Macaca mulatta: one gene and its partners. The protein of the gene in region 1 interacts with the protein of each later gene in a biochemical or structural test. Links are inferred from orthologs where the notes say so. Each region holds a gene or a part of one and is shown in the gene's direction. Other genes may lie near its edges.

The links.
Region 2: of the proteins of MAPK14 (region 1) and MEF2A, one has a biochemical effect on the other in vitro, tested with the Homo sapiens proteins (2 studies listed by BioGRID). The link is inferred for Macaca mulatta from reciprocal best matches to the Homo sapiens genes MAPK14 and MEF2A.
Region 3: the proteins of MAPK14 (region 1) and DUSP10 form a complex in vitro, tested with the Homo sapiens proteins (2 studies listed by BioGRID, with this or other methods). The link is inferred for Macaca mulatta from reciprocal best matches to the Homo sapiens genes MAPK14 and DUSP10.
Region 4: of the proteins of MAPK14 (region 1) and MBP, one has a biochemical effect on the other in vitro, tested with the Homo sapiens proteins (4 studies listed by BioGRID). The link is inferred for Macaca mulatta from reciprocal best matches to the Homo sapiens genes MAPK14 and MBP.

Annotation. Positions count from the first base shown.
Region 1 is NC_133409.1:146,224,667-146,232,645, reverse strand, and holds the start of MAPK14 (mitogen-activated protein kinase 14), read left to right. Parts: upstream 1-3,186; 5' UTR 3,187-3,536; coding exon 3,537-3,652; exon of another isoform or gene 3,653-3,879; intron 3,880-6,676; exon of another isoform or gene 6,677-7,100; intron 7,101-7,979. UniProt on the Homo sapiens protein: Serine/threonine kinase which acts as an essential component of the MAP kinase signal transduction pathway.
Region 2 is NC_133412.1:89,975,207-89,982,673, forward strand, and holds part of MEF2A (myocyte-specific enhancer factor 2A), read left to right. Parts: intron 1-2,850; coding exon 2,851-2,977; intron 2,978-6,766; coding exon 6,767-6,893; intron 6,894-7,467. UniProt on the Homo sapiens protein: Transcriptional activator which binds specifically to the MEF2 element, 5'-YTA[AT](4)TAR-3', found in numerous muscle-specific genes. Also involved in the activation of numerous growth factor- and stress-induced genes.
Region 3 is NC_133406.1:79,619,453-79,626,919, reverse strand, and holds part of DUSP10 (dual specificity protein phosphatase 10), read left to right. Parts: intron 1-1,121; 5' UTR 1,122-1,164; coding exon 1,165-1,975; intron 1,976-7,467. UniProt on the Homo sapiens protein: Protein phosphatase involved in the inactivation of MAP kinases. Has a specificity for the MAPK11/MAPK12/MAPK13/MAPK14 subfamily. It preferably dephosphorylates p38.
Region 4 is NC_133423.1:3,678,782-3,686,833, forward strand, and holds the start of MBP (myelin basic protein), read left to right. Parts: upstream 1-2,595; 5' UTR 2,596-2,798; intron 2,799-8,052. UniProt on the Homo sapiens protein: The classic group of MBP isoforms (isoform 4-isoform 14) are with PLP the most abundant protein components of the myelin membrane in the CNS. They have a role in both its formation and stabilization.

The DNA of each region.
Region 1 (7,979 bases):
GGGAGGGGACGAGGAAGGGGAGCATGAGCAGCTGGGCTAGGGAGCCGGGAAAGGGGTACCTAGGTCGCCCTCCTTATACCTGAGTCGTGGGAGCCCCTTGGTACTTGGTAAACCTGGGTACCGAAGCTCCTACTCTCTCTGAGGTTTTACTATTCTTGATCGAGGGCCAATTTGGTGCCAGTCCTCGTGCCCTGAACATACAGCAATGCACATGTGTACTGCACAGACGGTAATTCACTATCGTCTCCGGAAGACTTAGCCTTCCTCAGGTCAGAAGCGGTAAAAGGAAATGGAGGCTAGGAGGGTTACCCAGGTCTCCAACCATAGGCTCTCTGCCCCACAGGCCTGGCTCTCCCCACTGGATGACACCTTCCTGCCCAGATCGTCGGCTCTGGATGCAGACATGCCGTCTGCACTCACTCCCTTTACCCTCCTCCCACCCTATCCCTGTCCCTATCACTGTCTCTCACTCCACCTTGTATTCCTGCTTGGCCCAGTTACAGTTTTACACTTGTTTGTTTGATGACTGTGTTGATGTCTACCTTATTATGCACTTTGTGTATTCCTTTTTGTAAATAATCTTAGCCCTATGAGGGCAGGGATTTTTATCCCTTTCATTAACTGTTTTATTATGAGTGCCTACAACATTGTGGTGGACATAGGAAGTGTTCAATGAATTTGTGTTGAATGATTGCCCTCCCATTGACTGTAAGCTCCACGCAGGCAGCAACTGTAGTTTTTAATCACTTTTTAACTACAAGTGCTTGGCACCTAGTAGGCATTTAATACACATTGGTTGAATGAGTGTATGAATATACTGCTTACTTTATCTTTACCCTTCCATTCACCCTCACCTCATTATCCCAATTTGTAGGATAAAAATGTGCATTTCTGAGGATTCCTACTTCCAACCTTCCTCCTCACCCCTTGTAACCATTCCCTCATTCCCTCGATCCCCCCAACCCCATCCCTCATTTCTTCACAACCATGTTTTTGCTCTTACTTCCCCTTCACCCTCCGTCACTTCTTAGAAAGCTTCCTAGCCTCCCTAGTTTGGAACATTCTCAAGCATCATGTTTTTGTAGATAAGAGAATTCCAGCTAAGCTACATTGGATCCAAAACAGCTTTCCATGAATCACCCATGACTCTGTTTTTTGGTTTTATATTGCTTTCCTTGAGGAGGACTGATAATCCTGTACCACTTCTTAAATTGAAATCATGGTCATTGTTCACAATTTTTATAACAAATACTTATGGGACATGTTTTATGTTATAGACATTGTGCTAGATATTGGGACAAGATAGGCAAAGTCTGAGCCCTCCAAGGTGTGTATGACACAAAATAGAATAATCACAGGAAATGTTGAGAAATGTCCTGGCTTGGACCTAGTTATTTCTAATACAAGAAACTAAGACAATGATGCAGGATCTGATTCTTCTGCTCATTGTAACAAGCTTTAGCATAGGTGTAGGTTGATAATGGATGTAGGCATGGGGTTATAATGCCTTGCCCATTCACATTTATCTTGTTTAGTTTTTACAAATGACTCTGTTAGTCGGGAATGCAGGGCAGGAAATCTCTTGTAAAAGCTGGAACTAAGGTTCAGGAAAGGTCATTTGACTTGCCTAAATTCGATGAGACTTCTGCCCTCTTCTCCTTACTCGAAGAGGCCTGAGTTGAATGCTTAAAATCCTCTTCACTGATGGCTCTTCAGGGTAGGAGTCAGTTTCAAATCTTCAGTGTAATGGTTTTTTAAATGCTTCTCAAAGGGAGATATCAGACTTTCCTGAATCAGAATTACCTAAGATGTATTATAAAAATACATGCTCTTGATGCCTTCCTCTGACCTACCCAATTAGACTCCCTGTGAGTCCTGGGAACTTGCATCTTAAACTCCCAGGGTGATTTTTCTGCATGTAAGTTTAAGAACTATTAGGAGAGTTTGAATGGAAAGCCTCAGCTTTTTTTTTTTTTTTTTTTTTTTTTTTTTTTTTTTTTTTTGAGACGGAGTCTCCTTCTGACGCCAGGCTGGAGTGCAGTGGCGCGATTTTAGCTCACTGCAACCTCCGCCTCCCGGATTCAAGCAATTCTCCTGCCTCAGTCTCCCGAGAAGCTGGAACTACAGGCTCAAGCCACCATGCCCAGCTAATTTTTGTATTTTTCAGTAGAGACGGGGTTTCACCATGTTGGCCAGGATGGTCTCTATCTCTTGACCTCGTGATCCGACCGCCTCGGCCTCCCAAAGTGCTGGGATAACAGGCGTGAGCCACCGCGCCCAGCCCCTGGAAAGCCTCAGCTTTGATGCAGGGTTAACATTTGCCTTTGGGACATATTTCGTCAGCATCTCGAAGAGTAACCCACATGTAGAGTAACCCATATGTCCTTGAGCAGATGGGAATGCAACAGCCTTCTGGCCAGAACCTGTCTCTCACTTTTTTTTTTTTTTTTTTTAATTTGAGACGGAGTTTCGCTTCTGTTTCCCAGGCTGGAGTGCAATGGCGCGATCTCGGCTCACCACAACCTCCACCTCCCGGGTTCAAGCGATTCTCCTGCCTCTGCCTCCCGAGTAGCTGGGACTCCAGGTGCGCGCCACCACGCCCGGCTAATTTTGCATTTTTAGTAGAGACGGGGGTTTCGCCATTTTGGTCAGGCTGGTCTCGAACTCCCGACCTCAGGTGATCCGCCCGCTTCGGCCTCCCAAAATGCTGGGATTACAGGCGTGAGCCACCGCGCCCTGCCACCTATCTCTTTTTCATGCAAGTGTTTTTTGGAATTTGGGGGTTCAGCTGAGCAGGTGCTCCGCTGCTAGTAACTACTCGCAGTTAAAGATCTTTTGACTCTTTCCCCGACACGCTATTTGTCACTGTCGTTTTCCACCACAGAGCCAGGTATTTGCCCTGCCGGCCACGGTGGGGCGCGCGCGGCGTGTGCTGCCCGCTTATCTCTTCCTTCCCTGGTCCGCCTTCGCGCCCTTAAGGAGACAGTTCCTGGGAGTTTCTGCCTTTGGGCTCCAGTTGTTGCTCTCTTCTCGCGAGAACTGCCCCTCTCATCCTCTCCTCTCACGAAGCCCCGCCCGCGAAGAGGTTCCATATTGGGTAAAATCTCGGCTCTCGGAGAGTCCCGGGAGCAGTTCTCGCGAGAGTACTGCGGGAGGCTCCTGTTTGCTGGCTGTGGAACCGCGACCACTGGAGCCTCAGCGGGCGCAGCAGCTGGATCCGGAGTACTGCGACGCAGCTCGGAGTCGGCCTTGTAGGGACGAAGGTGCAGGGAGATCGCGGCAGGCGCAGCCTTGAGCGCCGGAGCGCGTCCCTGCCCTTAGCGGGGCTTGCCCCAGTCGCAGGGGCGCATCCAGCCGCGGCGGCTGACAGCAGCCGCGCGCGCGGGAGTCTGCGGGGTCGCGGCAGCCGCACCTGCGCGGGCGACCAGCGCAAGGTCCCCGCCCGGCTGGGCGGGCAGCAAGGGCCGGGGAGAGGGTGCGGGTGCAGGCGGGGGCCCCATAGGGCCACCTTCTTACCCGGCGACTGCCGCTGGAAAATGTCTCAGGAGAGGCCCACGTTCTACCGGCAGGAGCTGAACAAGACAATCTGGGAGGTGCCCGAGCGTTACCAGAACCTGTCTCCAGTGGGCTCCGGCGCCTATGGCTCTGTGTGGTGAGTGTCGCCGGGCCTGGGGCCGCTGTGGGCAGGGTGGCCCCTCGCGCCCGAGAGCCAGGCCTGCACGACTGCTCTGCGTTGCGTCAAGTGGCAGGAATTTTCCTCGGGGGAGGGCCTTGCTGCCCCTTCGAGCTCTGCCTGTTCTGCACCTCCTGCACCCCTCGCCCTGCACTCACGCGGGTATTGCGGTCCACCGTGTGCAGCGCTCAAGTCCGCTGCGAGAGGTAGGTGGTGGTGCTGGAGCTCGGTTCTGGCTAGCACCCTGCGCCTTCGCCTCTCGGAAGGTTGCTGCTCGGCGGCAGGCACCGGGGGAAGGGCTGCTTCCTTGGGGGTCTCCCTCCGGACCTGGAGCAGAAGGACCCTCTCCCGCGATGCGCCCACGCTGTGGCGCCGGACCCTGTCCTCTGAGCAGACAAGCTTGGGGAGCTGCCGGGAGAAGCAGAAGGGCAGAGCGCAACCCGAAGACTGCGGTCATCTAAACAAAACTGACCAGGAAGGGAGCTCTCTCCGGGCCTTTTTTTTTTTTTTTTTCCCCAAACCTCTGTCGAAATCCCATCTCGAGAAGTGTTCTTTTTGAATTCGCACTTGAATTAGCAGCGATCCATAGAGCTTAAAATACCGACTTTATCTCGGTGAACACTGTGCCAGCTTGAGTGGTGTGTTTCCGATTCGGTTGAAAGCGTATTTCCTTTCTGTGGAGGGGCGGCGGTGGTAGTGCCTGCAAGAACGCTGCAGCTTGAGAAACTGGCAGTCTCACTGATTAGTCACATACCACTGCTCATTTAAGTATTGTTCGACAAAACAGTTTTTTCATTTGGAGCAAGAAAGATTCAGATCTGTAAGGCGCCCTCAAGATCAAAAAATTATTAACAGTGCTAGGAGGTATTGTAAGTATTTTTTGAGATAATTCCTGCGAATACTGTGTTTTAAAAGTCCCTTTCAGAGTTTGCAGGGATTTATCTAGTTATCTGCATTTATGGCCTGAGGTACACGATGGTTTTCGTAAGGATATGGAACCACATAGAAAAGGAAGGGAAGAGATACTTTTTAGCTTTAATTTACACCGTGAGTGTGTTTTAAATTAAGTCGATACCATGTAATTTCCAGACCTGAAATATTTCACTAACTGCTCTCTAATTTTCAAGGTTTTATACCCTGTATTTTAGATTTTCTATAATTTAAAAGCTACGGATCTGAAACTAAATATCAGATTTAACTGTTAGCTTTTTCTGTGTTTTAGTAATTCGTATTGTATGCGTCATTTGAAAAGGGGCCTGTAAAATAGTTTTTTGTTTTGGAACAAATTCCAGGCTTTTGGATGTGTTAATCTTTAAATATGATTTCTGTGTTTCCCAAAGTCACATCATGAATTTCCTGTTTGGTAGAATCTTCTGGGTAATTGAGATTGTGCAATTGTGTCCAGTAACAGATCATATTGCATTTTCTAGTTCAAGCTGCTTAAGTTATGTTGCAGATGGCACCGTGCGTGACATCTTTCTCCCATTTTTACAGCATGGCAGTTTACATTTTAAAGGAATTTGCAGGATTTTACATTCAGAGTGTGTGTGTGTATAGTTGATTTGCAGCATTTTACATTCGATATATACATGTTAATATATGTATATCCATTCAGTATATACATATTATGTATATCTAGTTGATTTGCTAATTTTCAAAGATGTATTTGGATCATTGTTCTTTTAATATTTTATAGCTCATTAATATACTTCCATTTTTTCATTCTTGAATTGACACATTCATTTCTGTAGTATCACGTTTTTGTTTTCAATGCTATTTAAATTTTAATGGAGTGATAACAGCAGAATAACTCATCTATAGAGGGTTTGGGTGAACTCCAGTTGAATTCCTCGCAAAGGTTCAGTACTGTTGGTGACTAGCTCTGCACTGGAACAGGAGATCCAGATTTACAGTGAAGTACCATTAAAATTAACTCCACATTTCTTTAGTGGTATATTTTTCTGTGGTATAAAAGCCAGCAGAGGCCGGGCGCGGTGGCTCAAGCCTGTAATCCCAGCACTTTGGGAGGCTGAGACGGGCGGATCACGAGGTCAGGAGATCGAGAAAGTCCTGGTTAACACGGTGAAACCCCGTCTCTACTAAAAAATACGAAAAAGTAGCCGGGCGAGGTGGCGGGCGCCTGTAGTCCCAGCTAACCGGGAGGCTGAGGCAGGAGAATGGCGTAAACCCGGGAGGCGGAGCTTGCAGCGAGCCAAGATGGCGCCACTGCACTCCAGCCTTGGCGACAGAGCGAGACTCCGTCTCAAAATAAAAAAAAAGCCAGCAGTATCTGACACTTAAAAGTACTTTTATTGAACAGATTTTTAAAAATAGGTAATATATTCACATTGTATAAAATTTGAAAGTTTTAAAAAGGTATTCAGTGGGCCGGGCGCGGTGGCTCAAGCCTGTAATCCCAGTAGTTTGGGAGGCCGAGGCGGGTGGATCAGGAGATCCGGAGATCGAGACCATCTTGGCTAATACAGTGAAACCCCATCTCTACTAAAAATACAAAAAATTAGCCTGGTGTGGTGGCAGGTGCCTGTAGTCCCAGCTACTCGGGAGGCTGAGGCAGGAGAATGATGTGAACCCGGAAGGCGGAGGTTGCAGTGAGCCGAGATCGCGGCACTGCACTCCAGCCTGGGCGACAGAGCGAGACTCTGTCTCAAAAAAAAAAAAAAAAGGTATTCAGTGAAAAGTCTCGTTTTTTGTTCTCCAGCCACTCTACTGTCTTTCTCAAAGACAAGCGCTGTTAAGTGTCTTGTGTCTTTCCAGGGGGGCAGAGTTTTTTTATTTGCTTGTTTGTTTAGTAGTCTTTCTACTAAAGGGATTTAAGATGTAACCTACAGCATATTGGTGAAGGAAAATACAGCTGAAACTGAAATTATTTGACAGTTAACAATAAACAATTATAACTAATATTGGAATGAAAATACCAGAATTTAGATTTACAATTAAGTGTTATCTTATTCAGAGTTTCGGTGTAGTTATTTGAAGTTGTTCTTTTCTTTGAGATGAAGTCTCACTCTGTTGCCCAGGCTTGAGTGCAGTGGTGCCATCTCGGCTCACTGCAACTTCCACCTCCTGGGTTCAAGCGATTCTCCTGCCTCAGCCTCCCGAGTAGCTGGGACTACAGGTGCCCTCCACCATACCCAGCTAATTTTTAGTAGAGACGGGGTTCTCCATGTTGGCCAGGCTGGCCTCAGACTCCTGACCTTGAGTGATCTGCCCTCCTTGGCCTCCCAAAGTGCTGGGATTACAGGCCTGAGCCACTGTGCCCGGCCTGAAGTTGTTCTTTCAATGAGTACCTTTTTATGTGTGGCAGAAAACATTTTTTGGAACTTCTTTTAGAATCCACTTTGGAGCCTATGATACTCTTCTTCTTCTTTTTTTTAATTTTGAGACAGAGTCTTACTCTGTTGCCCAGGTTGGAGTGCAATGGCACCATCTCTGTTCACTGTAACCTCCACCTCCTGGATTCAAGCGATTCTCCTGCCTCAGGCTCCCAAGTAGCTGGAATTACAAGTGTGCAACACCATGCCCGGCTGATTTTTGTATTTTTTAATACAGACAGGGTTTCACCACGTTGGCCAGGCTGGTCTCTAACTCCTTACTTCAGGGGATCTGCTCACCTTGGCCTCCCAAAGTGCTGAGATTACAGGGGTGAGCCACTGTGTCTGGCCATCCATCTTCATTTTTTTGAGAGCAGATTTGATTTTAGGGAATAACAGTCCATTTGAATCCAAATAATTTAGGGAATTTGGACTCAAAGATTAGGCAATCAGGTTGGTGATACTACTGTTTTAGGTCAGATAGAAGTTACAACTATAAAGTAATGACACAGCATTTTTTGTGTGACTTCTTGAACTGGACGTGAAGTCTGCTTCCAAAAATATCTCCGAATTTTATTTTATTAATATTTATTTATTTTGTAGAGATAGGGTCTTACTGTGTTGCCCAGGCTGGTCTCAAACTCCTGGCCTCAAGCATTTCTCCCACGTTGGCCTCCCAAAGTGCTGGGATTATAGGGATGAGCCACCACACCCAGTCCCTGAATTTTATTTTCAAGAATGAAAATAAATTAATAGAATATTTCAATGAATAAAATTCATTCATTGAAATATTTGTCAGTTTCCTAATTATTGCTCTGAAGTGCGGTATACTTTGATGTGTAACATTTATAAATTATTTTAAGCCTATATTATTTTAATTTATACTAAGTATAGTAAAAAAACAAGTAGCAGCCTGTGTGAGAACCAATTATGAATCAAAATAAGGTTTTACATATATGCCTTTCCTTTAAAGA
Region 2 (7,467 bases), on another chromosome or scaffold:
AAGGAATGTCTGTAATTCAATGTATATATATTTACTTTTCTATCAGAAGACACTCTGTTCTTAAAAGCAATTATTGCTCTTTTTCCAAAACAAACGTTTTCTGTTGGCTTTTCCTCTAGAAAATAAACTTGACTAAAAGCAACTTGCAGTTTATCTATTTCTTCTTTAGGTACTAAAACCAAAACCTCACAGGAGTCATCATATAATCTCAAAGTCAGCTGCTAATTAAAAGACTTTAAGGGGAATAAAAACTTGGAAATGTTTTTAGCATGGACAGGGGTTAAGAGTGCATGAAAGCATGGGGGAGAAGGCATCCGTTGGTTTTAATATTCCATGTTTATGCATGCTGGTGTGTTTTGCACAGTTTGTGATCTTTTCAAATAAGGTTGTCTGTTCCCCTTAAAATACGAGATTGTTCCTTATTTAGCTTTGTGATCAGTCACAGTTTTGGATATAGTTTTGTATTGGCCAACTGAACTATTCTAGTCAGCTGTAAATGTTTTGAATTATATTATGAATATCTTTTGGAGAAACACTTTACTTAATGATACCATAATGATCAGTAAATGAGAGTTTATAATTCAAGCTAAAATAATTCACCTTAGGTTAGACTTCACTGTTCAAGGAGTTGTGAATGCTTCCATGAATTATCTAGCACTATATTGCCCTCTTGTGGTTCTGAAAATCACTTACTCTTAGAGAACTCAGTGCCTTTGAGATTAGGAGCTTAGTTGAGTAGAACCAGTGTTTGAAGTCTTACTGTTTTCAAAGGCATGCCAGAAGATTGCCATGAAGATGATGCCATGGAGTAGGTAGGGTCCAAGCCAAACTATGTCATACTGTATTCTTTCACCTAGTGATTTGACTTTAGAAGTTCCAGACTAAATATGAAAGAAGAAATTAAGTCCAAAGTAGATCTGTATCTTGAAAAGTCATTAAATTTAAAAACTTGATACTGAAACTAACATATTCCCAACTGGCATACGTTGGTTTTCCACATTCCTCAGAGTAAGTACATTTGTAATTACAGAACCTCAGAGATAAATATATTAGGTCCCTGAAGACTTTAAAATACGTATCTAAAAACTTATAAACAGCCATTTGTATTCTTTAAAACTGAAGCCTGAGACTCTATAATCAATTAAAAATGCAGAACTTTGTGTGCCAGAACCAAAATATAATCAGAAGCACAGTCCGTTAGAACTTAGAAGTGGTTCAAATTGCCTTGAGCTCTAAAATGTAATTGTGGATGACTGATCCGAAGTGCGGAAGGACAGGTGCCCTGGGGCCTGCACTAAAGACTGTACTGTTAAGACCAGCCACGGAGATTCCTTTAGAAGCTGAGCAATAGTAGAACAACTTGACTTCATGAAAGCTCCAGTAGACTAGGCTATGGATTAGAAGGAATAAAAATATGTATCTTTTTTTTCCCACCACTTATATAGAAATTTGGGACAGAGGGTTTCTTGGGACAATAAGGATATTATCTTACATTTGTGTAGTACTTCAGTTATGAAAGCACTTCTGACATAATAACCTCATTTGATTCTCACAGTAGCTGTTGAAGGCAGCCAGGACAAAGATTGCTGTATCTTCTCTATTTGACAGTGAAGAAGTTCAGAGAGGTCAAATGATTTTCCCAATGCTTAGGAAGTGGTGAATCTGGGACAGAAACTCAAGCAGTACATCCACATCCACATGGTCTTTCTCACATCTTCTAACCTAGGATAGAAAACAGAAATTAAAAAGAAATAAACTGAGATCAGGATCCTCATTGAATGTTTGTAAGTGTCTAGATCTAGCCAAAGGCCTTTGTCTGATGTACTCTTTTGAAAATTGTGGTAGAGAAAATGGAATCACATTCTAACTCTTCATAATCTCAACGGCACTGAATTATACTTTACTGATTTGGCTCAGATCCCTGAATGTCAGTTATCAGGCTGTAACATAATTTATAAAAAACAAATAGAGTTGTGCTGTGACTTTCTGGTGTGCTAGTGACACAGAGTCTGTTGTGTTCCTCCGATCTTAGATTTTGGAAAACTGTTACCTTAAGCCAGTTTGGTGAGAAACTGGTTCTGTCATACTCCTACACATTAAGGACAATGACTATCTTAAACTAACTGGATTATTTAATAGTTGATTTTTTTAATCCATTCCCAGCATGGATAGGATGCTGCATAGATGCATCCAGTTGGCAATCATTTAATATTGCTCTTCCACAGCCCTGTCAGCAGTACTTGATTCAAAATGCTCTACTCAAAGCGTCTCCTACAGAAGGCCAGGGGACCATGAAGGGATACATATCTGAATCTGTTGTTAAAAAATAGGTCAACTGCATGATTGGAGAGAAAGAAATAAGAATACAAGCTGCACTCAATAAGCCATGACTTCAAACTATGTTAACATGTAAATGCCGCAAAGAAAAGTAGTTTTGATTCCTATACTCATAGACGTACAATCCCTATATATACAGATGACCTTTGCCATCAGCAGGTATTTAAAACCTACATATATTTAGGGTAGTCTGACAGTATTTGTAGCGGCATCACGTCCTCATTTTGTGCTAACAAATAGAAGTGCTAATGCCTGTAACATAAGTTCCTATTTTAACGTGGTGTGTCTAACATTAATAAACTATTTTAAGAGGAGAATTAATGTAAAAATATGACTCTTCAAATCAAATATTTAGTTGTTCTCACTAGTATTTTTGAAGTTTTCACATCATCACTGCTTCAGAAAATGACATTCATATAAAACTGAAAAATGTCACTTTTAAATTGAAAGTTATTTTTAAGTCAACATAAATACCATATAAGAACACTTTTTCTCTTTTTTGATCTCTCACAGAATACCCAAAGGATAAGTAGTTCTCAAGCCACTCAACCTCTTGCTACCCCAGTCGTGTCTGTGACAACCCCAAGCTTGCCTCCACAGGGACTTGTGTACTCAGCAATGCCGACTGCCTACAACACTGGTGAGCCTGCTTTGGTGCCTTCCATAGGTTGTACTTCTCTCTGTTTTGTGATCAACGTGTGCTTTTGTGATTTTTTTTTTAAAGTATATTTATTGAAATAAACTATTTCCAGTTTTTTAGATTTAAATTAAGATGTATTTTTAAATGTGCTAGCCTTGAAAAAAATTACAAACAAAATTGATAGTGTCAGAGTTGAATAAGTTATTTCTGCTTCTCCATCGTGAACTTTCAATTACCCCTGACAAAAAGCCCATGTAGATAATATCAAAGTGGTGGCATACATCAAGCCAAGAGGGTAGCAGCCTGTTGCTTGAGTATTGTTGATGTAGTTTCTCTTTAAACAATATCACAGTCTTCCAGACTTTTAAAATAAGATGTTTGTCTTTATGCTGTGTTAACGTGCTTTGGGAAAGACATGAATCCCTTTGGACCTGAGACTTCGGGAGGTGGCCGATGTTTGACTATGTCTGACAGGCTGTTTTCCTCCCTGTAACCACTAGCTTGGTCCATGTCATTTGCGCTCCTGAGGGGCAAAGCAAGGACTGTTCTGGTTCCTCCTCAGAGCCAGTCACTCTGCCTTTGAGGGGAGTTTTGCCTTCATTTATGTTTAGTTAGGCATTTCATCTTAAAATGCCCTAATTTGGGGTTGTATTAGGAAAATTTAAGAATATTACAGTGATTGTAGGAGTGCTTTTAGCCAAGCAGACTGTATGGAGAATCGAGGGCAGCTGGTTTCATTTAAATTTACCAATCTAAGAAGAAGTGGAAAACACATGTGGTTTCACTTTCTCATCGACTGAGCCAAACACCTGATGCTTCAGAGGAAGAAGGCAATAAATTCTACCTTGCCAATTACTCCGAGACTGCAATGCAGAGAAGTTATTCTTTTATGATTCTCCTAAGTGTCATAAGTAGACTGTGGTAAAGATCGTCTGATTTTAGCCTTCAGGGTGAATGCTTTGGCACAGTACTTTGAAACTGCTGTCTGCAGCTACCTGAGGGGGCAGAGTGTTGAGAACATTTGATTGCCACTTTTAAGTAGTTCTTTTAAAACAAACAATAAAAGGTTTCATTGGGGAAAAAAAAAAAAAACTTCTTAGGAAATATCCATTACTTTTCCAACAATTAGTATGAAAAATAATGCCCAAATTTGTTGACTGCATACTATCTTAGGGACTGTGAATCATAGCCTGTTATTTGTGTCTTGCACAGAACAAGGTTCCAGAGCAAAGCCAGGGATGATGGATTCATAGAAATTCTGTTTCGATGCACTGATCACCTGCTTTATGAGAGACACTATGCTAGGGACATACCTTTCTCCAAGTTTATTCTAGACAAGGAGACAGGACATACCTAAGTGGGCAACCATGGAGGGGAAGTCCTGAATTGTTGTGTTTATGAATTTATACTCTGAGAAATGAGAAGGTACGGCAAAGCTATAATGTTCAGAGGCGTATTGACTGAGAAGAGGGAGCTTGAACTAGGTCTTAGATTATGGTTTACTGAGTGTTTCATTACAGGTTTTTCAGTATACTTAGAAATTCCACTATACTTATTTTCAGAAATGCCATTGAATTGGGAATTTATTTTTTAAAAGTATAAAAGGAATTACCAAAGCGTATAAAAATGGAGGCAGGCTCTCAAAATCATCAGTCGCTTAGCGTCAGTCTCATGCCACCTTTTGACTGACTTTATCTTTGTTCTCTTTCTCATAACACTTATTCTGTTTTAAGTTTACCATGTTATTTTTAACTTATTCACACATCTATTCAGCAAATACTTATCAGGCAGCTACTATGTGGTAAGCACTATGCCAGGCACTGGAAATACAGGAGTGCAGAGTCAACAGTGGAGCCTAGGAGGAGGGCACAAGACACATAGCACTAGGGTCAAGCTGCTGCAATTGTGTCAAGGGCTGTATCTCAGCTTGGACATGAAGGAACCTGCATGACTCAGGCAGGCAGAAGAGGTAGAGTGCTCTTGGGAGAGGGCGTGCCTGTACAAAGGCTAGGAGTTCACAGGCGGCACAAGGCTGAAGGAATGGGAACAGAACGTGGGTTAGAATTGAGACTAGAGAAGTAAGTAGCGATTTGTAGACCATGTCAAGGATTTTGGAAACTGTCTGGAGAGCATTGGGAAGCCATAAAAAAGTTTTAAGTAGAGGAGTGCCATGATCATATTTGTTATTTTGAAAAGATCTCTTTGGCTGCTATATATAGGGTTACAAGGCAATGCCAGGAAGCGACATCAGAGGCTATTGTAGTGGTCCAAGCAATGTGTGTTGATAGCATAGACTAGAGTGGTGGCAGTAGAGATGGTGAGACTTGGGCAGGCTTGAGAGAGAGCAGATAGAATTGCTCAGATCTGGAAGTTGATGGGGGGAGTGAGAGGGAGGGGAAATAGCAAGGATAACACCCATAGGCTTCTGCACGAGCTGCTGGGTGCATGTTGGTGCCATGTACTAAGACAGAGTACTTAAGGAGGAACAGGTTTGCAGGAAGGGACAGGCCATGTCAGATTTGTGGCGTTTGGAGTGGCATCCAAATGGACATGGCATGCAGGTCGTTTAAAAGACCTAGAGGTCGAAAGAGAGTGTGGGCTGGAGGGAGCACTGGGGAAGGCATCAGTGTGGCAGGCCCTTGCCCCAGCCCATGGGAGTGTATAGAATAGAATGAATGACAAGGGCAGAATCAGGACAGCGCTGAGCACCAGCTATGTTGCTTCAACTTAGTTCCTTTTTTAACATGTTAATTCACTAGGAAGACCAACTTCTTTAAACACCTCTCTTGAGACATGAGAAAGAAGATAAAAGTAGAAGAGTTTTGCCACCTCTCTTTAGAACCAAATGGAAAAGACAAGTGTTATGATGAGCTGAAATAACTCCCCGTGTGAGTGATAACTAACGTCCTAAATCTTGGTCCCAGTGATTATGACTGAAGCATTCATATGATATGAGCTGGGTTATACTCTAGGACACCAAGTTTTTTCATGAAGTTGAAACTATTTTGCATGCTGTCAAGGAGTTTGTGATAGTCTAGGTACTTTAAACAAATGCAGTGAATTAATTGTGTAATGATGTCACTAAGCTTGGCACCCCATGTGAAGGGAATCTGTCTTTCCTGTCCCCTGTCCCCCAACCCCTTACTTCATTAAGACTTGCTGATTCAAACTCACTCTGGTTGGGTTTGACTGTTTCTGTTTGTTCCAAAGGGTAGCGGCAGGCATATTTAAAATAACAATTGTACAGAACATTCTTTAATGATGGCCTCTTATTTGAATCATCCCAGACAACTAAATATGGCTAGATCCTGTAAAATCTTCCAAGAAAAGATTTTGGATTTTAGACCCACATGTATGTTGTTTTGTTGTGAAGTATCTGGCTTCTCTCAATGTAGGAACTTTTTATTTTTTTTGAGAGGGAGTCTATTGCGCAGGCTGGATGGAGCACAGTGGTGCGATCTTGGCTCACTGCAGCCTCTGCCTCCTGGGTGAAATTCAAGCAGTTCTCCTGCCTCAGCCTCCCGAGTAGCTGGGACTACAGGCATGTGCCACCATGCCTGGATAATTTGTGTATTTTTAGTAGATGTGAGGTTTCACCATGTTGTCCAGGCTGGTCTCAAACTCCTGACCTCGAGTGATCCGCCCATCTCGGCCTCCCAAAGTGCTGGGATTACAGGCATGAGCCAGCATGCCTGGCCTCAGTGTAGGAGCGTTTGCAGTAGCTATCTAAAAAATAGATTCCATGTGGACCTTCCATCACATGCAGAGCTGTCTTGTCTTCTTTCGTAGATTATTCACTGACCAGCGCTGACCTGTCAGCTCTGCAAGGCTTCAACTCGCCAGGAATGTTGTCGCTGGGACAGGTGTCGGCCTGGCAGCAGCACCACCTAGGACAAGCAGCCCTCAGCTCTCTTGTGTGAGTAACTAGAAGTTTTCCCTGCATCTTTACTCCTGGCCGACACACTCTCTTCTCCTATCAGTTACAGCCTTTTTCGCTCTGTTGAGTTTCGTGTGAGGAATCCTGTAGTGATTCCTTTTCAGGTAGAGACAAGTGTTGGGAGAAAATATTTTCTTTACATGGCTCTAGATAGTAGCTTGGATACTGACAAACTAGGCATTTTGAAGGGATTTGGGAAGCAAGGCTTCTCCCATAGGGACATCCCGAGGTAGAGAGACTCAACCGGGATCTGAGGGGGTCCAAAGGCACAGGTATCACCCACATGCACCATCCTTCTACCCGCTGACCAGTGATTAAGCCACCTGCTGCACCGCTGCTTCTAAGCGCCTGCCTCTGGTTCCCCTGCTTGAAAGGCAGCCTGTAGGCATTCGGGCCCCCCCCGCCACCCTTGCCATTTATTGCTTTGGCAAGTATCTGTAGACAAGAGTAGGAAGACAAGCTGTATCTTCTGCTTTCTCCCTGGGCATAGAGAAGGAAAACTGGGGGCAGGGTATCTTCTATATCAGTCAGACTCCATAGAATTTGTGTGATT
Region 3 (7,467 bases), on another chromosome or scaffold:
ATAGAAGAAGAACAGTTAGCAAGCCTGGGTTGTAGAGTGTCCCTGTGCCTACAAGAGGAAGGAGCCGTCTTTTTGCAGACAATATTTGAAATCAGAGATAGATCCAGTGGGCAACAATTCACTGCCCCTTTCAGCGGGTACAGGCTAATTGGGAGGTCCTCTTTATGGAGTCGGTACTCTTGAAGGGGGGATATCTGTATGGGATTGGAACCTTATACAACGTGGCTGCCTCCCATTGAGAGAAGCTCTGGGATGCACAGTCTGTGCCAGCCAGGGAGATGAAGAGGGGAGGTGAGCTCAAGTTGTCCTTTCCAGGCAGGAATGAGGGTAGGGGTAGGTGGGAGAGCAAAGGGTGATGGATCTGCCAGGGTTGGGGTTTCCAGGTTTCCAGATCTGGCTCCATGGCTTGAGATTTCGTTTTAGGACACCAGTTAGTAGTGAAAAGGGGAAATGCAGATTAATTTATAAGAGGCCAAAAGACAACATGTGAGGTTTTAATATGACTATGTTGTGCGTTTCAAAGGACCCCAATAGGATGGAAGGCAAGAATAGCTCCAAGTTAAAGAGATTCACTTAAGGGGATTTGCAGAAAGTTGACATCCACTCTGATGTATATTTAGCTGCTGTACATTTCTGTGAACCATGCCAGTGCTCTTGGTTGCCCCTTTGCCTTTGCAGCGAGTGAGGGAATTAACTGGCAAGCATGCAAGGGTGGACAAATGGGTCTTTCTCAGATGTTTGCAGTGTACTTCTGCGCAAGAGCTGAGGTTCAGAATAGATGCCTCTTAAGAGCCTCCCTTCTGTCTTCAGCTTTTCTAATTATTTGTGCTTATACCTTTTCTACAGCTGAACTTTTATGTAGGTCCAGGAAATATTCATTAACATTTACAACTTTACATCCAAATTTAACCTTAGATTTAGCAACCAAATTGATTGGGGCCCTCAGGTTTGCATCCTCTTTGAATACATAAAAATGAGTTTCAAGTTTTGATTATGGTATGATAGAGGGCAATTAGGAAGACTGCTCAGAGGGATGCAAAGGCCTTTCCTAGGGATTGGATGAGACTGCCTTTTGTGTCACGTGACTTTATCCTTTCTTTCTCCCTTCCCGTTCTTTACAGACTGTCTTGAGTTCTTCTTGAATTGCCAGTTTTCAGCCTCCTCATGCCTCCATCTCCTTTAGACGACAGGGTAGTAGTGGCACTATCTAGGCCCGTCCGACCTCAGGATCTCAACCTTTGTTTAGACTCTAGCTACCTTGGTTCTGCCACCCCAGGCAGTAACAGCCACCCTTCTGTCATCGCCACCACCGTTGTGTCCCTCAAGGCTGCGAATCTGACGTATATGCCCTCATCCAGCGGCTCTGCCCGCTCCCTGAATTGTGGATGCAGCAGTGCCAGCTGCTGCACTGTGGCAACCTACGACAAGGACAATCAGGCCCAAACCCAAGCCATTGCTGCTGGCACCACCACCACTGCCATCGGAACCTCTACCACCTGCCCTGCTAACCAGATGGTCAACAATAATGAGAATACAGGCTCTTTAAGTCCATCAGGTGGGGTGGGCAGCCCTGTGTCAGGGACCCCCAAGCAGCTAGCCAGCATCAAAATAATCTACCCCAATGACTTGGCAAAGAAGATGACCAAATGCAACAAGAGTCACCTGCCGAGTCAGGGCCCTGTCATCATTGACTGCAGGCCCTTCATGGAGTACAACAAGAGTCACATCCAAGGAGCTGTCCACATTAACTGCGCCGATAAGATCAGCCGGCGGAGACTGCAGCAGGGCAAGATCACTGTCCTAGACTTGATTTCCTGTAGGGAAGGCAAGGACTCTTTCAAGAGGATCTTTTCCAAAGAAATTATAGTTTATGATGAGAATACCAATGAGCCAAGCCGAGTGATGCCCTCCCAGCCACTTCACATAGTCCTCGAGTCCCTGAAGAGAGAAGGCAAAGAACCTCTGGTGTTGAAAGGTAATGCCCCTGCTCCCTTCCCAAGCACAGTCCTGATTAGCCGGGTTCACTTTGGGTTTTCTCGTAGAAGTGACAGCATTCTCCTTACCCTGGCTACCAAAGACCAAAATAGACTTTATTCTTGTCTTCCCTTCTATGCTCTTTATTGTGTTGGTTTAGTAAGAAAAACCCAGCAGTACTGAACTGGAAGCCAGAAGATCTGGGTTCTACCCTTAATTCGGCTTCTAATTTGCATTGTGCAAGTCATTTCACCTCTCTGGGACTGTTTTCTCATCTTTCTAAAAAGGGGCTTTATATACACCAGATGGTATCTCAAGTCATGCCTGGTCTGCTAGCTCTATTCCAGTCAATCACTAGTTGGAAAGTTATTGTCTCTCAGACTTAACCAATGTTGATGGAACAGAGGAAGGAGCAACTATGGTGAACTACAAGTAAACCTACAGGTACCAGTTCTTTTTGTGGGAAATTCTTTCTCTTTTTCACCTTTCTGACCAGCTTGACTTTTATATGGTTTATAAAGTGACCTTGAAGAAGGGCAGAGCTTCTTATTCTAAGGTTCCATATAAGGTATAAGTTCACCAATTACATCCATTCCTCTGCCAAGGCTCCAAGGGAACAGAGACGTTTTTATGAAACACTCCCCAATCCATTGTTTTTTTCTGGCCTCACCTGACAACAGTTGGCATCATGGCTCCTACCAAGATGGAGTAGTGGGTCACTTGCCCCAGTATACTGAATGCAGAATAACTGAGATTAGTGGAACTAAGCTCCAGCAGAAGGAAGTATTCACCCAGTCTTCTTGGAGCACCGTCCATACCGTGTTGCCTAACCTTCCCAAGTAGCCTGCATCCTGTGTCCAGCCTAGTTGCACCTCTTTGCCCTCAGATACTGACTTTTGGGGCACCGTACATCACTCTCAATCGGCATCTTTTACCTGGTGGTGGTAGTGAGAGATAGTCATCTTCTTCTCTCCTTTTGTGTTGTGAGCCAAGGTACACAGTTTCTGGGTCACATCTCCAACCAGTCTCCTAAAGTGTGTTGACCAAAGGTGTTGCTGAGTTTGAACACATTGCATGTTTAAATTGCAATAGGCCATGTGGGTGAGCAAGTTAGTTATTTTGTCTCTACGGGACAGCTTTGCCATTCTCCTTCTTGTCTTCCCAGTGAGGCATTCTGCCTTTTGTTAAGCAGCGTTCTGGGAACTATAGTTCTGAATTCCATTGACACAATCTCCTTTTCCCAACCTCCACTCTCCTCAAACTTGTCCTCATGGGGCTCCCCTACCACAAAGGCACATCTGTCCTTAGAGCTGGTGGGCTTTGCTGGGAAGGAGAACATGATGGAATTGTATGTAGAGAGTTCCAGAAGCTTCTAGGCATTTCCTGGTGGTGGTGGTGGTTGTGGTGGTGGGTTTTCTTGAGGTCACAAATATGTTCAGATTTCCTCTGCGTAGCTCTGTATTTTATTGTTTCTGTATTCTTGTTTGGTTGACTTTGAGTGATTCCCAGGATATTTACCCTGCTATTGTCTTACTATAATCTTGGTGTGTCTGGCCTCTTACAAATGAGAAAATCCTACCTGGGAATTTCCCATTTGTAATAGTTTGTCTTGGGGAGCAAAGAGGAGGATAGCTAATGATCTTGATGATCTCCTCTTTGCTCATGCAGAGCAGGTGTTCACAATTAAAAGCAAGTCTTTTGTGTCTGCATGATTTGAGGAGAGGAAAAAACACGGATCAAGATGACCCTAGACCTCCTAATCATGACCCTAGACCTAGACCTAATCATGAGGATGATTAGAAGGAGTTGCAGACTCTACTCTCTATTTTGCAGCGGGTGAAGTTGTGGATAGGGGTGACCCATCAGTCACTGAAAAGTGAATCTCCTGGGTGCTACTGGTGGAAGTGGGGTGCCTCTCTCCCTTTCCTGTGGATGCAGCTGAGATTCCAGACAGCCTGGGCTTGTTCTTCAGTGTCAGAGAGTAAGATTGCCTCAATGGGGCGGGGCCGGACACACTGCTGACCTCACCACTGGGCGCCCTGGGCAGCCACTGCGAGGCCTCGTCATTTTTGAGTTGGTGAGACACCGCGTTGGTCGACTTGGAAGACGCTCTGGTGGTAGAGGTTAGATTATTTGTAGTTTTGGGGGCCTTTTCTTCAAATATCTGGGAATTTCATTGAAAATATGTAGTTCAGGAGTGAAGGGGTCTATATTCTACTTTATAATTATCATTGTCATTTTGATATCTTTTGGGAGAACGGCCTAAAATTGGGACCAAGATGGAAAAGAAGGGAAAGGAATGGGTCAGTATTAGAATGTCCTTCATAATCCTTTCAACTTGGTAAACCAGTGATTAATACCATAGCACCATTGTGGTGAAAGACGGGGTGGGCATTCCCCAAAGGCATGACCAGCAGACTTCTCCCAAATTCTTGAGTGGGTCAAGCAACAATTCTGGTCTGGCTTCTCCTCTCAGATTTATTTGAGTAATCCCCTCCCTTGGTGATAAGATTGTATTTCAGCAACAGGGGTAGTGGTACCATTTTGGAAAGAGTAATTTTTGTAGGGAAGCTGGTGGGAAGGGGGCATAGTTAGAACATAAGGAGGAAACTTCTAAGGGCCTGTTAATTTATTTTCAGAGATTTCAGTACAATCTTGGGTAATTTATGGCTGGCCCATCTGATGCTCTGGTTTATGTTTGTAAACATTGGTTGCTACCCTCCCTGTCCAAGCTCCTTGTCCCCCTGTCTCCATGCCATGCTCTCCATTTTTGGTGCTGTCTGTCAAGTAGAGCGGCTGCTAACTTGCCATTTTAGTAATGCTGTGTCAGGCTGGGAAGAAACCGATCAGAGGCATGGCAGCCCCTGGGATTAAGTTACTGTTCTAATTTACGGTGCCCTCCCTGTTGTGACCTATGTTAGAATCCATGTTTTAGTCTCATCTTCTGAAGAATAAATGGCATCAGACCTGTGCTTCCCTTCAACTTGGTGAAAATGATCCAAATGAATAAATATTTAGGGATTTGTGAGGTCTTTGAAAGAATTATATTCTGTTTTACTCAAAGCTGATTTTTAATCAACTAAAACTTGCTTTCTAGTCAAACTGAATAAGAAAGCTAAACTATTCTTAAAATTCTTTTAACAATTTTAAACAATTCTTAAAAATAAGAAAGCTAGACCATCCATAATGAGAGCTATCGTTTTTGCTATCAAGATTTTTGGGCTCCCTTTCTTTTTAGTAAAGCTGGATCCAGAGAAATAATTTGTCATTTACTTAGGTAGGAAAAAATAGTCTACTGCCCCTTTTTCTTAAAGACAATACATGCCTCCAAAAATGTTATTATAAACATTTTCAAGCATATAGAAAAGCAGAAAAGTGTGTAATGAACACCCATATACCTGTCAACCAGATTAAACAATTTTATTTTTCCTATTTGCTTTCTCTTTTCTGTTGAAATATTTAAAAATATAGATAACGTTTTAATGTATTTAAGTATGTTTAATGTTTAAACTTAATGTTTCCAATTCAAGAAAGCTAGAAATATAGTATACTAAGAACAACATTTTCACTCCTAAACACTTGAGTGTCATGTACCCATTTTTAAGTGCTTTTCAACCTAGAATCCCTCTGTGACTGATCGGCAGTCTGGTCTACAGAGGAGCTTCCATCCCTGGGAGTGGGAGGGCTCCAGGTGCCTCCTTGGGGTCTGTGTCTCCCCCTTCCTCCCCTGTTATGTCAGAGCCCATGCCTGTACTTGCTCTATGCTATTGTAAAACAAATAATGACCAACTGCTACAATCTTTATAGGACTGCTCTGTACCAAAGGCCTTTACTGGGGAATGAGAGAAGAAGAGGGAAATGGTTTAAGAGGATGATCCATGGGGTGGATTTGACCATGCAGTGAGTTAGGCCTTTATACTGTAAAATTTCACTTCTTAGAATTGAGCATCATAGATTGCACACTTTTCCCTAGTTGAAAAGGATTCTGAAATATACTCTTGTTAGCAATGTAGAGTTCTATGACAAAGTGGATGGCTAGGCTCAGAAATCAGAGACCCTGTGAAAAATATTCTGTTTCTGCCTTTTCTGGGGGATGGGGAAGGGAATAAAAGTCTCCCTTTGTCTCTCAGAGATGTTATAAGGATTCTTAAAAAGGTATCTGAAATAAAGACATATCTGCATTCACAAACGTGCTGCTGTTATTCTGTGCCTCTGGTTAACATCCAAGACTAAAATGTCAAACATTAGCTTTGTAGCAAATGATGGGGAAATCAAGGCAGAACTTTGGATCTAGTCAGTCTGAATGCTAGTCTTGGCTCCCCTCTTACTAGGTATGTGCCCTTGGGCAAGTTGCCGAATCCCTCAGTTCCTTAGTTACCTCATTAACAAAAAGAGATTATAACAATCGCTGTCTCAAAGTGTTAGTTTCTGAAATAAATGAATTAATGTGTGCAAAGTGTTCAGAACTTTACACACATACATGGTAAGCACTCCATAAATATGGTAAAATGTTGTTGATATTGATTGAAAGGAAATGATAGTGCCAGTAAAAAGGCAAATTTTGCTCCTAAGGAGTACAAACAACAAGCTAGGTATAGTAGAGTGTGTGTTGCTATGGCCTAAAAATAACTTAATGACTGTTAACTAATTTAAGTAGCATAGAGTTGGAGTGCCAAAGTAATTGCAAAAACATACTGGGCCAGGAGGCTGGAGTAATTTGGTATATCCCATAATTATTTGTTTTAGGAAAATTTGTAAAAACATAATCTGTCCAACTAAAGTCCCATAACAAAAGTATAAAACTTTCTAGCTTTGCTTTTTGTTACTTCTCATCATCTCATCAGGAAGATTTATTTTTGGAATAAGGATTGTGGACTGACTATAAAAGGGTAGATAGAAGGAGGGGTGAGCTGGTTCCTGAGCCTGGGGTTGTGAAGGGTTGGAATGTGAAGGAAAAAGGAGGGAAGGAGTTGAATGGCCTGCTCCTGTCTTTCAAGAAGTCCTGAAACCTCTTTCTGAACTGCTACACTGTTAGTTGGCTGTCCTCTCTCTGAGCTTTCAGGTACACTCTCCTGCTTCCTAATTTAAGTGTAGGTGAACAGATAATAGAAATGAACTCTCTCTCCCAGCCGTGTTCTTGCTTCATCTGTTCCTCATTCACGATGTGCTCAGCAGAGTGAAATTTTGCTCACTCACACCTGGGTTCAAATCTAGGCATTTCCATTGACCAACTGTATGCCTTTAGGCAAATCAGGGGATCTCTCAGGGGCCAAGTTTTCTTCATTGTAAAACAGGGACAGCTCCAGCATCCTAGGATGAAATGAGGTGACATAAAGTACCTGGCATTTGATGGCCCTCAATAAATCAAGCCTCTGGACCCTGCTCTCCTACTCTCATGCCCTAATGTAAGAACCGCTTACATTTCAGGGGCCGGGGGTGTTGGGGAGGATGGGCAAGTCATTCTAAGCACAGTACTGTGGGAGCATGTTAAGT
Region 4 (8,052 bases), on another chromosome or scaffold:
AGGCAGGTGGACCATCTGAGGTCAGCAGTTCCAAAACAGCCTGGCCAACATGGTGAAACCCCATCTCTATTAAAAATACAAAAATTAGCTGGGCGTGGTAGCAGTTGCCTATAATCCCAGCTACTCGGGAGGCTGAGGCATGAGAATCGCTTGAACCTGGGAGGCGGAGGTTGCAGTGAGCCGACATTGCGCCATTGCACTCCAGCCTGGGCCACAGAATGAGACTCCATCTGGAAAAAAAAAAAAAAAAAAAAAAAAGTTCAGTCCTTTCCTAAGCAAAACATCATAACAAAGACAAATCTGTTGATGAAGAAACTAAAGAAAACTCAAAGTTCGTGCAGTCTGAGTTCTGTCGGAAACTATTTAGATTCATTTACTTCCTTTAGCTTGGGTAATTTGGAGTTTAATTCAACTTAACAAAAAATTTATTGAGTTTATTTCATGCACAAAACATTTTGCTATTTGCTGCCATATGAGATGCCGGATAGATCTAACTTTCTGCTCTCTGGTACCTTGTGAAAGATGGGGGTAACTGCAATGTGACTTTCTTAGAAATGTCAAAGACACAATGAGGCTTTGATGGGTTACTTGTCAAAAGATGCCTTTCAATTTTATTCAGCACAGTGAATCTCTGTCACTTTGCCGAGGGCTACATGGACATCTTCATGTGAAAGTTTGTCTCTCAGCAGTGAAATGCCGGCCTGTTTCTTCCATCCACTGTCCTCAACCTGGGGTCCTTTTTCTAACCAGGAGGGCATGAAAACCCCCAAGACAGGACCAATTGATCCAAATGTGAATCCACTGTTTTGTTAAATAGTATTATCTATATGTTTTCTTTGAAGAATCCATGAATGTTTAAAACTGCCTGGCTGCCCACCTGCATGGACACTCCATCCCAACAAAATATGCACAGTGCAATTTTATAAATACTGTAAAAAGACTTTTAACTGGAACTTGTGGAGCCTGACATTTGCAGGGCTGACTGTTGGCATATGCAGTGTTTCAGGAAACCACTGAAACACCAGCAGCAGGAGCACCAAACAGAAGGCCACGTGCTGCTGCTGTCACTGTGGCCTGAGGGACGCTCTGGAGCCCAGCATACAGGGACATCTGCAGGCAGGAAGGTGGCCCCGCCCTGTGGAGTCACTGAGATAAAGCCAAGAGATGTTTTGGGGAGGAAAAGCTGTTTCTGATGCTAAAACAGGTATCTAAAACGGGACCCAGTGTTCCAGCTTCCCCAGTCTGAGCTTTGAGTGACTTCAGCTGGGACCTGGGTGCACCCGGGTTCGTTGTCACCACCCGTGCTCCTAGGGCAGCTGTCCAACCTCCCACACCCACTCCGCTCATCCTTGACTTAAAGTGAGGTTGGGGGGCAGAAAAATTGGAGAAACACACTATCTTTGGCACCCTTTTCCCTCCTCACCTTCAGCCTGAAAGTCCCAGAACCTTCCTAACCTCTCCACTTGAAAATCTCTCCTGAGGAAACCACCAGACTGAATGCTTTTGGGTCGTTGTGGAACTATTTCTCTTCCAGTTGCCAGCATTTGAACACAGTTGCTAAATCCTCCCGGCCTCTGGGAGAGGCTGGTTTTAGGCCGCAACCCCGACCCCACGCTGAAGTCGGTGTCCCGCCTCCCAGCGAGGGCCGGGATAGGGCTCACCCCTCTCCCTCACTTCCTAACAAACTGTGTGGGTCCCAGGCTGCCTCCGGAAGCTCCAGATCCAGATCCCTGACTGGGGGTGTAGGTCAGGAGGAACGCGGGGCCTCATTCAGGGCCTCCCCCAGCCTCCTCCTCTATCACCTTTAGGAGGCCGAGAATCCAGGGAAAGATCTCTGACCACTAAATCTGCGTGCAGGTGAGTCACGGCTAAACAGCAGGCTTTTTCTTTTTAACAAGAGAGCGACGAAGACTACGATGTCTCCGGGCTGCGGGACCAGGCTGCTTCCTCGCACCTGCGCGTGTTTTCCTGTCTTTTCCGCGCGCGCTTCCAGCGCCCGTCCTGCAGGAGAAGGTGCGCCCCCAGCTCCCAGCCCCCAGCTCCCAGCGGGGCACCTGCCGGCCGGACATGGGCCTGGCCTGGGCTCCAGGGGAGGGAGGGCGCGCCCCGGGAGGACCTGCCAGGCTCCTTTCGCCTCCAGGCCGGGCTGACTCCTCCTGCAGAGCCAGGGCCGCGCCAAGTGCGTCGGCAGTTTCTGGGGTTTCCAGGCCCTGAGGACGCGGGGAGATGCGGCCTGGCACTCCTCCCGCGAGGTCGAGGTCGGGGTCGGGGTCGGGGTCGGGGTGGGTTCGCAGGCCAAGCCACGCGGGAAGGGTCGACGGGCCGCAGTTGGGAGCCCAGTTCGGCAGCGGGCGAGGCTCCAGGCCGCCCCTCTGAGGTCTGACCCTGCGCGTGGGCCCCGTGCGCCCCCCGAGTTCCGCGTGGGCAGAGCGGGCCCCGGGTCCTCCGAGCTCCCGGGGCGGCTCCGGCGGCAGCGTCCAGGTGGGGTGGGGCGGGCCGGGCGGGATCGGCCTGTGTTTACCTGGCTCGCAGGAAGCCCGGGGAGGCGGGGCCGGGGAGCGGGGTGCGCGCCCGTCCCTCCGAGCCGCCGCCGTCAGTCACCGCCGCCGCGCGCCAGAGAGAAGCAGCCTCCAGCCCCGGCGGCCCCGGTCTCCCGACCCCGGAAGGCGGCGCAGGCTGCCCGGGGACCCCGCGCGTCGGCGCTTGAAGCCGAGACGAGCCCGCCCGGGCCGAGCAGGGGGAGCAGGGCCTTGGACCCCGCGGCGCCCCTCGGCCTCGGAGCAGCGAGCGCAGCGCCGGTGGGTGACCCTCAGGGACGGGCGGGCGGCTCTGCCGCCTTTGTCTCTGTGCCCCTCCGAGTGGGGACCGCGGAGACCTGGGCGGGATCCCGGACCCAAGCCCCGCGGGAGCCTGGGACGCAAGATCTGGGACAGGAGCTGTCCCGAAGCCCGGACTCAGGGTCCCTCTCTTGGCTGGGGACGCGCAGGGGGAACCTGGGCAGCGGCGCAGGTGGCCGGGCAGGTGGCAGCCGGCGTCCTCCCTGACCCGAACCCACCTCGCCGGCCCCGATCCCCACTGCGAGGGGGTGGGCGCGGGTGTAGACGCGGGTTTACAGCGCCGGGGCCGGACCCTGACAGTTGCCCAGGGGTGGTCTCCAGCCAGGCCCGGCGGTCCCAGGGTCGCTGCCACCGCTCGGCCTCGGGCTGTGGGGCTGAGGGGAAGAGTCTAGGGTGGGAGGGGACGGCGGTCAAAAGCGGCCACTCTGGGCGGGTGCGGAGAGGGCGCTGGCGGCCAGGGCGGGCTGGAGGGTCCTCCCGACTCGCGGCGCCTGCTAATCACACCCCGGGGGCCCCGCGCGCGATCGCGCCCCCGACCCTGCCCCCAGGGCGAAGCGCAGTCTCCCTCTGAGCTCCAAGGGCGGCCGCGAGAGCCCGGGTACGGGCTTCCGCCTTCGCAGGGCCTGTCTCGGGCTCCTCCGCCCGGCCGGTCGCTGCGCCCACCTGAGCCCACGTGCGCCGCCTGCAGCCGCCCGCCGGCCCGCCCGGGTCTTCCCTGCAGCCGCCTCCCGGGCCCCACTGCCTGTCCTGGGCCGGGTGCGTCCGGTTTCGGTGGCCCCCGAGGCCGGCGTGTGTGACCTGCGGTCATTTGCCGCCACACTGTATTTTCCACGGTGCCGGGGGCAGCGCCTTGTGTCCTTTCGCGTCCACCAGAGCCCCCCGTTTTGGGAGGTGGAGTGGGGCTTGGGAAAAGATTCAAGCGTCTTTGGGGACCCCAGTGCGACTCTGGCTGGAAACAGGCGCGTTCTGGTTCCTTGTTCCGTTTTCCAATTGCAACAACATGAGAATCAACAAGTGCTCGGTTTCTCTGCGCCTGGGTGAGGGGCGCGTAGGCTCGCTGGGTGCTGGGTTGGGAGGGGCGTGGACTTCGTTCCGGCGAGGCCGCTGCCTGGTCTGACCACAGAACGTCCCGCCTGGAAAGAGTTTTTCAGAGGAAGGAAACGTCAGGGAACATCCAATGTGTTTTTTGGACATTTTATCTGGCGAAGCTCCGGGGGACGGGTTAAGGACGGTCACCCTCAAGTCAGGGAACCATATGGATTGAGCAAGGTCCTGCCCGGAGCTCCCTGGCGGCCACCTCCAGTGATGGACACCTCCTTAGCGTTTGGGCTGGGGCTGTGGATACGGCCGAGAGCCAGGAACCCACCTGCCTTTCAGTAGAGAAGGCCAGGGGAAAGGGCACCGCGGCAGAGGGTGTGTGTGTGTGTGTGTGTGTGTGTGTGTGTGTGTGTCTTTTGTTTTTTAGGGTTTTGTAGGGGAAAGGGCACCGCAGCAGAGGGGTGTGTGTGTATATGTGCGTGTGTGTGTCTTTTGTTTTTTAGGGCTTTGTTTTGTTTTCTGTGAAATCTGAGGGGAAAGAACCCAGTTAAAAATTGTTGTAAATGCTGGAGTAACTCCCAGGGAGTTAACTGTTCTGAAACAACCACTTCTGCTAACTCCGGGTTAAACAAAGCTATTTTGTTCAATCTTCTTTGAAAATCCTCCAAAAGTATCACAATTCTGCCCAGAGATAAGAAAGCGTAAGATGCGTCGCTTGTTTTACACCTGGTAGCTCACGGTTCCTCCATGATTTGAGACATGGGGTTTGAGTTTGGTCAGTGGCGGTCCTAGCTGTGTGCACTGATTAAAGTTAGCCCCCAAACGCTGGAAAAAAAAAAAAAAAAAAGACCGCACTTTCGTGTGGTGTTTCTATTTCTGCCTGAATTTGTCAATGTTAATTGTAAGTTATTTTGTTTGACTTTTAATCCTCCTCCAAGTTCTTTAAAAATATGACATGCTTAAGATTAGCAGTTTCCTCTGTGCCTTTTCTGTCCCCAGGGAGTGTTTATCCACCACTTGCACATTGCCAGACTCTCTTTTGAGAGCGGTTTGTCACCTCGGATAACAGTTGGGACGGCCCTAGGATGCTCTCATTGGATGTCGCCATCCTATTCATATTTTCATTTTTTACTGATGAGGAAACAAGGCTCAGAGAGGTTAAGTTATTCTAAGGGCACATGAGAAGAGGGCAGGATTCAGTCCAGGGAGTCTGCACCAGTGCCTAACTGCTGCTCTGCACCGCCGTGGTGAAAAGGATGGCTTGCAAAGGTGTTCCTGGGTCCTCCTTTTAAAATTCCACCCCTAATAATGAGTGAGTGTACCCAGAGATGTCCCACACACGTTTCCCTTCAAGAATGATTTGACCATAAGGCCACTGGCATCCGTCTTTGTTCATCATCCTCTCCTTAGCTTTCTTAGTTGTCAATAAAAGAGAAAAAATATTCTAATTACTCCTTGTCTTTTTTTTTTTTTTTTTTTTGATAAAGTCTTGCTCTGTCGCCCAGGCTGGAGTGCAGTGGTGCAATCTCGGTTCACTGCAACCTCCACCTCCTGGGTCCAAGAGATTCTCCTGCCTCAGCCTCCCCAGTACCTGGGACTACAGAGGCACACCACCATGCCTGGCTCATTTTTGGGTTTTTTGTTTGTTTGTTTTTGTTTTTGTTTTAGTAGAGATGGGGCCTCACCATGTTTGCCAAGCTGGTCTCAAACTCCTGATTTCAAGTGATTCGCACACATCGGCCTCCCAAAGTGCTAGGATTACAGGCATGAGCCACCGTGCCTGGCCTCTAATTACTCTTGGGATAATTTTAAATAAGTGGCCATTAAGTAGTAAGACACTTCTATTGGCCCATTGGAACCCCCGAAGGAAGTGCTGGAGCTGTGTAAGGGAAGAGTGCTCACCCCACAGGCCCTGATGCCAGCTGAGCAGAAATGCCAGGCGAGCCGCTGGAATAGTCTCCAGAGGAGATTTTAAATCTCTGTCAAAACCTGTAGTGGGCAGGCTTCATCCAGAGAAACAGAAGCAGGTGGAGATACATATTACTCATGGCAAGGAATTGCTTATGCAGAGGTGGGCTGGCCAGGTTTGTGGGACGTCTGTGGGACAGGCCAGCCAGAAGGGCAGCTGATCTCTCCGGCCGGCTGAAGCTGCCTTCCACGGCAACATCTCCCGCAGTGCCAGTGACAACCATGAAAGCATGTTCCCAAGCTATTAGCAATGTCTCAGACTCAATAGCCATTAAAGCGCAAAAATGTCATTCTGAATGTTCTTTTGTTCTGGACTCTGTGAACAGCACTGCATTGGTCGGAGTCACCATTGTGAAAAATAGGTGGATGTCTAAAAGATGAGGAGACACAGACCTATGTGAGGCCAGGATCTAGACTACAGAAACAGTTCTAAAATGTGGTAATTTGAAACAAGCCACTCAAGAGTAAAATATGAGACTGAAGAGAAAACCCAGATGCACTGATAAAATACGAAAAGGACTTTAACCCTCTGGAATTCAGGGAATTCAAAACTAAGATGTCAAAAAGGTTTTTTTAACTTTACTGTACTGGAAAAATTTAAATTGTGACTATACCAAATATTAGAGAAAGTGCAGAAAAATTAGACCTCACATGAGTTCAAGTAGAATATAATTAGGAAGTTAGAGAATGATCTAGAAAACCTGAAGATGGGTGTATCCTAAGATCTAACAATTCCACTTCTAGGTGTCTCCTCTAGGGAAAACCTGGTCTGTGTGCATAAGACACACACAGTGGATATTCACTGAAGCAATATAGTAAAACTCTGTTTTGAGATCATTGTAGATTCACATGCAATTCCCTTCACCAGTTTCCCCCAACAATAATATCTTAAAAACCATAGTACAATGCCACAACTAGAAATTGAACATTGATACAACCCATTAACTTCGTTCAGATTTCAGAGTCCACCAGTTTACATGTACTCGCTTTATAGACTGCTCTGTGTGTGTGTGTGCGTGCGTGTTGTGCACGCGTGCTTAGTTCTGTGTAATTTTATGACCCGTGTAGAACCATGTGACCACCAACACATCAGAGGACAGGACAGTTTCATCACAAGATCCTTAATGCTACCCTTTATAGCCAAGCTGACTTCCTCCTTCCCCCTCCCTAAGGCTGGCAACCACAGTATGGTTCCCATTTTCTATAAAGAATGCTCTATAAATGGAATCATACACTATGCAACCTTTCGAGACGGAATTTTTCCGCTAAACACAATTCCCTTGAGACCCATCCAGGTTGGCAAGCATGTCCATAGGTGTTTCTTTTTAATTACTCAGTGGTGTTCGCCCATCTGAATGAACCATGGTGTGTTCAACCGTTCACCCGGGAAGGGTGCTTGGATTCTTTCCAGGTTTTGATTATTGCAAACAGAGCTGCTGTGAACATTCATATACAGGTTTTTGTGTGAGCATAGTTTTCATTTCTCTGGGATAAATGCCCAGGAGTGCAATTGCTGAGTCATATGGTTAGCACATGTCTAATTCTGTAAGAAACTGCTAACTCTTCTCCAGAATGGCTACACCATTTTGCATTCCCACCGATGGTGTGTGAGTGATTCAGGACCTTCCCAGCCTGGGCGGCATTTGGTATTGCCACTGTTTTTTTCTTTTTAATTTTAGCTGTTCTAATAAGTGTATAGTGGTATCTCCTGATAATTTAATTTGCATTGCCCTGATGGCTAATGACATCAAGACCTTTTTATGTACTTATGGCCATCTGTGTATCCTCCTTAGTGAAAAGTCTGTTCATGTCTTTTACCCGCTTTTTAATTGGATTGTTTGGTTTTAACAACTGAGTTTTCATAATTCTTTATATTTTCTAGATACTGGCCTTACCCCTCTGTGACTATTTTCTACCAGTTTATCTTGTTTTTTCACTCTCTTCACAGAGTCTTTTGCAGAAAGTTTTAGAGTTTGCTGAATTCAAGTTTATTAATTTTACCTTTTTCGGATTTTGATTTTTGGTGTGAAGTCTTAAGTCTTCACCTAGCCTGAGGTTCCCTACAAATTTTATAGTTTCACATCTTACACTTAAGTCTCTTTACCATTTTGAGTTAATTTTTACATGAGGTGTGAGGTTTAGGTTGAGGCTTATTTGTTTTGGTTTGGTTTGGGTTTTGCCAATGAATGTTCAGTGGCTCCGGGACTGT